2 linked regions of the Mus musculus genome follow. The protein of the gene in region 1 interacts with the protein of each later gene in a pairwise test. Links are inferred from orthologs where the notes say so. Each region holds a gene or a part of one and is shown on either strand. Other genes may lie near its edges.

The links. The genes of interacting proteins can lie anywhere in the genome.
Region 2: the proteins of Trim39 (region 1) and Wdfy3 interact in binary tests that used the Homo sapiens proteins (3 or more experiments, as listed by UniProt). The two-hybrid records come from large-scale screens. The link is inferred for Mus musculus from reciprocal best matches to the Homo sapiens genes TRIM39 and WDFY3.

What each region holds. Positions count from the first base shown.
Region 1 is NC_000083.6:36,258,239-36,261,444, reverse strand, and holds the end of Trim39 (E3 ubiquitin-protein ligase TRIM39), read left to right. Parts: intron 1-499; coding exon of another isoform or gene 500-523; coding exon 524-1,071; 3' UTR 1,072-2,572; downstream 2,573-3,206.
Region 2 is NC_000071.6:102,066,996-102,071,076, forward strand, and holds the start of Wdfy3 (WD repeat and FYVE domain-containing protein 3), read right to left. Parts: upstream 2,927-4,081; 5' UTR 2,601-2,926; intron 1,367-2,600; exon of another isoform or gene 1-1,366. UniProt on the Homo sapiens protein: Required for selective macroautophagy (aggrephagy). Acts as an adapter protein by linking specific proteins destined for degradation to the core autophagic machinery members, such as the ATG5-ATG12-ATG16L E3-like ligase, SQSTM1 and LC3.

The DNA of each region.
Region 1 (3,206 bases):
GGAAAGTTCAGATCCTTCCAGTGAGCTTCACTCTTCTTAGGCCCACCCCACCTGCCCCATTACCAGCTTTCTGTCTCACCTTGAATCGTAGAGTTCAGAGAAGAAGCCTTAGGTGTCATCTGCTCTAAATAGGGACCTAAACACAGTAAAGGGTTCCTAACTCATTAGGAGGAGTGAGCATGGACCGCATTTACCATCTTAGCCAGGAAAATGAAAGGGAACATCATTGTTAATATTTGTGCATAGAAGAAGAGTCACAAAGCAGGACTATTTCAGGATGCGAGTTCCTGTTTATCCTCTCCCCAGCCCCTACTGCCCACTCGATATGGATCCTTCTCTCTGGCCCTCACTCAGACAGTACCTTTCACTATTCCATTCAGCAAAAGCAAGCATGATTTGAGGTCAACCAGCCCACAGTGTTCTGGGAGCCTTGCAGGCTGTGCACAGGGAGGCTGGGAAAGTGAGGCAGGGACGTTTAGCTATTCCCATCCTCATCTAGCTCCACTCTGGCTTCTTCCGCCAGCGGATGTGACTCTGGACCCCGAGACTGCTCACCCTAACCTCGTCCTGTCAGAGGATCGGAAAAGCGTCAAGTTTGTGGAGACAAGACTCCGAGACCTCCCTGACACACCGCAGCGTTTCACTTTCTACCCTTGTGTCTTAGCTACTGAAGGCTTCACCTCAGGTCGACACTACTGGGAGGTGGAGGTGGGTGACAAGACCCACTGGGCAGTAGGAGTATGCCGGGACTCTGTGAGCAGAAAGGGCGAACTGACTCCACTTCCTGAGACTGGCTACTGGCGAGTGCGGCTGTGGAATGGGGACAAGTATGCAGCCACCACCACGCCTTTTACCCCTTTGCACATCAAGGTGAAGCCCAAGCGGGTAGGCATATTCCTAGACTATGAGGCTGGCACACTGTCCTTTTACAACGTCACAGACCGTTCACATATCTACACCTTCACTGATACTTTTACTGAAAAACTTTGGCCCCTCTTCTACCCAGGGATCCGGGCCGGTCGGAAGAATGCTGCACCACTTACCATTAGGCCCCCAACAGATTGGGAATGACAAGAGATGCAGTTTAATTGGGGTGAGGCAAGGTCAAGAGCGGTGGGCCTTCCTAACTGGCCTGCTAGAATATCTTGGTGTCTCCGTGGTTCCAGTCTTGAGCCATCTTGAGAAACCACCTCGCATCTGGGATGGTTTGTGTGAGGAGTAAAGATAGGACTGGGCTGCATGACCAAGCACAGATGAGTGTCCCTCCTTACTGTAGTGGGAGAGTGGACTCCCAGGGGATTGTACTCTGGTGTCCCGCAGGTTTCCTAGTGCACGGGGACAGGTTGAGAAAGCAAAAGCTTTCCAGAAACAAAGTCTATAGGAAAGGGTCTTAACTTGCTTAAAATGCAGGAAACAGAAACCTTTAAAAGGCTTCTGTGACGCAGAATAGCCTTGTTCCTTGTGGGAGCGCACAGGGGTCTGTATACCTCGGTGTCGGAAAGATGAGTGGCAGTTGCTGTCATGAGTCTAGAAGTCGAGGGGCTTTTCCGGGGCCAGAGCTTGAGCATTAAAGTTAGGAGAAGGATCAGGGAAGAGGCTGAAGGAATGTTTCTAGGATGAATGAAGGGAAGGGGGTTTTCTTTGGTCTCTTTTCTTCTTAGGGTAATGCTATCATTACCCATAGGATTAGCCAGAGGTTCAGATTTGGGGAGAAGGAAAGGATGGGGAAAAAGGAGACTCCATGTCCCAAAGGCTTGCGTTATTCCTGTTTCCTGCAGTTGGCTGTCTCTAAAAAGTAGGCTCCTCTTGCTTCCTTCTAAAGGTGAGATGGAAGCAATCCTGCAAGACATACATCTGAGCCGGGCGTGGTGGCATACCCGGGAGGCAGAGACAGGCGGATTTCTGAGTTCAAGGCCAGCCTGGTCTACAAAGTGAGTTCCAGGACAGCCACAGCTATACAGAGAAACCCTGTCTCAAAAAACTCAAAAAGAAAAAGACATACATCGGTCCTTCCATTGTTTCCCAAGGCAACTTGGAGAGGAGTCAGATATTAGAGGAGAGAGAAAGGTGTAGCTAAAGCCTTGGCCTTAAGGAATGTTCCTAAGTGGTTATTCCCAACTTGTCCACCTTGCCCCCTGGCTCAAAGACCTAAGGAAAGAAGGGAAGGTGATGGAGTCTTTCTCACCCATGAGAACAGGGTAGAAGAGGGTGGTTTGTGTAGCAAAGGGCCAGAAGACAGCTAAGCTTCTATTTCTATCCTTCACCCTTTGACATTCCCCTTTTCAGAGAATGTAAATTATTTTAATTTTAGGCCAAAATAAACAACCCATAGGGTACATATTTTGTCACAAAAGGTACCAGATGCATGCCAAACCAAACAACCTGGATTATCTGCTGCCTGGGTAATCTTCACACAAGACTGAGACAAGAAACTGCAGTGAGGGCATTCAGTTCCTCCTACCACCTCAACAGGACTTTGTCCACTCTACTCTTACCTTTGTGCCTTGACTGTGGTTCTTTGTGGCAAGATAATTGGTTGGTGAAAATATGGAACAAAGGATCCACTAATGTGATCTCTTGAGTTGCGTGGTAATTTGTCAGTGGATGGGTGTGGAAACTGTATGTTCTTGAGTCTCACCTTCTGTCCTTAATGGAGGTTTGGGTAAGCTTAGGAATCCACATTTTAATACACTCCCCTCATTTGTCTCTGAAGGCCCATACAAAACACCCAGGGTAAGTTTCAACGAATTGCCTAACTCTGAGCCAGCAGTCTGGTTCCCCACAGATCCTGCAGGGGCCTGGATCCCTCTGCTTCTGACCTTAGCCAGTAACTGGGAATCAGAAGTAAACACCAAGCCAGGTTGAATAAATGAGAAAAGGTCAGAGGAAGGAGGGTGAAGTAGATACTAATAAATAGCCGAGGAGACCGGCCATGCTGTTGTCTGGTTATTTGTGCTGTTCATGTAGCTACTAGCCCTTGGAACAGCAAGTGCCTTTAATAAGAAGTGGGAGAAAGGCAAGAAGCTCTTTGCTTAGGGATGTTTTGTCCTGTTAACTTATTTCCTCCCTTGTGATCTGATCTTTCACACTTTCAGGTCCATGGGCACTAATGCTTTTTATTTTTGAGACAGGGTCTGGCAATGTAGCCCATAATTCATATCCTGTAATTTATGGTAGTCCTACCTCAACCTCTCCAGTGGTGAGAT
Region 2 (4,081 bases), on another chromosome or scaffold:
CTTAATATAGGCCATGGTGACTGTTACCCTAGAACAACTGCCACAGTTGTTACCATTTACCAGCCCGTGGCTATACCACTGCTCTATGGCACAGGCATTACACTAAACGCACGAAGGCACAAAAGGCAACATTCTGCACCACGAGGCATCTGGACGGTGTTCCACAGAGGACATTAATGGTTGCCAAGGATCTGAGGACTAAGCAAAGGGCCATGAAGGGCCTTCCTAGGGAAGTATGAATGGCCTCTGCTTGTCTGTAAGACAGACCACCCAACTGCACATTCAGATAAAGCGTCACTACATGGAGATGATTCCTGAGTAAACCCAACCTGAAAAAAACCAAATCGGCCATTAATTTGTGAATGGTGCTGTGGGCGAGAAAAGTATCCGCTGTGCAGAAGGGGCTGGGACTCAGAGCAGACGCCAGACAAGCAGATTCTACACAACAGTCATGATGGAAACGCAAGGGTCTGTGCCATTGGAATCACAGAAAACAATAACACTAGAGGGTGGGTGGTTGGGGAGGGGGATGCAGCGAGAAGAGCTTTGGGGTGTGGCTGCAGAGCTGTGTGCATACCTGGGTCACCCCAGCAAGCCCGTCACTGAGCCCTCTGCACTGAAAGCCCATGACTCCAAAATGCCATGCCATTCCGGTCTTCACATCTAATTGGTATCCTAAAACATTGATCATCACTGGCTCTAAACTTAGGCAATCTGGGTCCTAGACTTTCCCTAAAGTTGCCTAATTCCCCATCTGTACAATGGGATCAGCATCTTCCCCGTGTCTGAATGAGAATACACGGATGAATACTTTACATGCATGCTATCCTGGGATCCTCTCCATCTTTCCGTGGTACTCTGATACACTCTCCATCACAAGCATTAGACAGAGACAGGTGGAAAGTACACAAACTAATTTTTTTTCCTCAGACTTGCCTGCATCTACAAGACTTAGACGTTCACGCTCTTCTCAGCCTCCCAGTACCTGGCCAACAGGTATGAGTCACCATACCCAGGTAGGATATTTACTCTTTTTAAACTACGATACCCAGTTGTTTACCATCTTTTGTGGTTCCAGATCAAATGGGGGTGGGGGAGCCCCGATGTAGGCTACATTCTGAGGATAATTTCTAGAAATTCTAAGACCCCACTGAATGCAGCACCTTGGTGATATTTAGGACACCAGAGGTAAACAGTGAAGACTTGTGGAGTTCAGCATCCTCAGAGTACAGAATCTGATCCTGGAATATTACACTACGGTTTAACTTTCTTTCATGTCTTTCCAAGTTACTTCAAAGCCTCATGTTCCTTAACTCATAGCACATTTGTAGAGAAATTTTTGTGAGAAGCATATTTTTACATGAATAGATTTCAACTAAGGAAAAGAGAAACTATTTAAAAACCTGTATTTCTAGTTGCTTGAGGCAGAACTGCTCAAAGTTTTAGTTCTCAAACCTAATGAAATACAGATTTTTTTTAAACATTAAATGCATATCAAGCTAATTCTTACACAGCAGGGTCCCATGATGACAGTTTTATTTAAAGAGGGATTTACTTTGACTAGATCTATACACTAACAGACTATAGTCTTTCTCCTAGACTCTACACTAATACCACATCCCATTTTCCTGTAAATAAGTACATTTTTCATTGTTTTGTTATTTTTACTTGCTTTACATCCTGACAGTGAAAACTGATCTAAACCTGCTTGATAGAGGCCAGCCTGGAATCTGCTGTCTCGACGCAAGGGTTTTGTTTTTCTTTTTTTGTTGGGTTTTCAGACACCATAATAACCACTTGGTACTGACCAACCCATAGCTATTAGTGAACAAAAATAGTTTTTCGTATGCATAAGCACCATTTTTCCCACAGAAAAAACACTTAGCCATTGGTGAGGTACTGAAAATCCATGCATTCGGTAAACATCTGCTTGATCTGATTCTATCCTATTATTTCTACAAAGGAAGAACTCATCATCTGTCTCTCCGATTCAAGAGTCAAAAAATCAATGGAACGCAGCACCTCCGATGCGACCATGGTCCAGAGGGCTCTGGTCGGAAAGGTCACCGCTGCCTTTTCAACCCCGCCATAACCGCGAATGTCGGTGATGCCACCACATCCCCGATGCAGGACAGAAGCATCCCAGGTCCCTTCCACAGGGAAGGGTTTGCAGCTCAGAGCGTAGAGGGATGAGCCAGGAGAGGCCCGCGGCCCTGGAGACGGCGCCCGAGGGATGGAGGCCGCGCTCCGCTGCGCCCGGGCGCGCGCGGGTGGGGGCTGGGGGGTCCGGGAATGGGCACCGGGAGGGTCCTCCCGAGGGGACCGGCATGACCCCCACCTACCCCGGGCGCCGCCGGGTTACGCCCCCGCCCTCCCGGACCTGCGGTCGCCTTGCCCCCGCCTCCCCATCCCCGAGGCCCCCGCACGCCCCTCCGCCGGCCGCCTGGGACCAGCCGCCGACGGCGCCCTCTCCAGGCCCGGAGGAGGACGCGGGTGGGGGAGCGGCTGGGCCGCGGCCTGTCCCCGCGCGGACAGCGCCTCCGCCCCGCAGGAACAAAGCGCGCCGCGGGCGAGCCGGCGAGCGGGCAGGCAGCACTCACCGCGGACGCGCGGGCCCAGGCGTGGGGCCCGGGAGTCCCCCCAGGCCGGGCCGGGGCCGAGCGCCCGCTGCAGTCCGCGAGCTGCGGGGCCGGGGCGGCAGCCGTGCTAGGCAGCCAGGGCAGCGACGCCGCCGCCGCTCCCTTCTCCCGCCTGGGTCCCTGCTCCGCCGCGTCTTCTCCCTCGCCGGGTCCCCGCCGCCGCCTCAGCCTCGGCACTGCACGGGCTGCTCCTCTCCATCAAGGCCGGGCCGGGCCGCGGGGAACATCCCGGAAAGTGAGGGCTGGTGGCCGTCTCCCGCAGCTGCTGGTGGCCATCTTTAATCCTCCTCCTCCTCCCGCTCTCCCCACCTCCCGCGCCCGCTGACGGACGGCTCGGGATCCTCCTCCCGCTCCTCCCGCTCCTCCTACCAGGCCGGCCGCAGAAACTGCAGCCGCGCGGCCGGCCCCTCCCGCCTTTCCTTCCTCTTTCCTACTTCCTTCCCTCGCCGCGGCTCCTGCTTGCCGGCACCCTGGACAGGCGCGCAGCCCAGTCCGCGCCCCGCGCCCCGCGCCCCCTGCCCTCGCCTCCGGGCTCCCGGGTCCTCTGGCGCAGCGCTCACCCCCTCCTCCGGCTTCTCGGGGGACCCTGCTGAGAAAGCACCGCTGCGCGCCCCTGAGCCCTACTCCCATTGCTGGATGCTGTCACCAGCGATGAAAACACGCGAGCCTGCGTTCATTTTACTCCAGCTGGAGTACAAAAGAACTGCCCACGCTAGCTCTTTCACTACGCGGCCTCGAACCCCCACCTCCTCCGGTGCGGATCAGGACCCAGGAGTTTCCAGTCTCCAGGGTTGTCCTGGGTCAGTGACCTTGAGACCTTCTGCTGAGATTTTAGGTTTGCCCTTTCTGGAAAGGTCATTCTTTGTACCTCCATAGACCTGACCAACACAATGTTTGCACTAAATGAGTATGGATTGGTAAACTTGAAACAGCCAAGCGGACATCAGCTTGTCTCTGTTCCTAGTCCGCCCAGCGTACCGTTTGGGTCATACTTCTGTTCTGACGGTGGGGACAAAACTGAGTCAGCATGAATGCTTGAACTCCTTGAGTTGAACAGCTCAGAGTGGGGAAGTAGTGGTACAGAAACTGGAAACACGAGCTTGTTTTCCCAACACTGCAATCTACAGCAGTTTTAGGATTTCCTCTAAAAAAGAAAAAAAAAAAAAAAAAGCCGAAGTAATTTGGACTTGCTGTTTCCTTTTTTTAAGCCAGTTTGTGTTTGGAATTGGATCCAGTTGTACCGATTTACTCCACTGTTTGCTACAAGATTCAGCAGCTGTTCCGTGTGGGGGCCCCTGTTCCTGCTGTTCCCAGGCACCCGCTGGCAGGACAAAGCACCTTTCCCCAGGTGTGGAGAGCCATGCCTGTAAGGCCTGTGCTGGGTGGGGCTGCTGTTGGATGAGGTTGGGGGGTCCCTCAGGAGGATAGAAGAATTGTCCAGA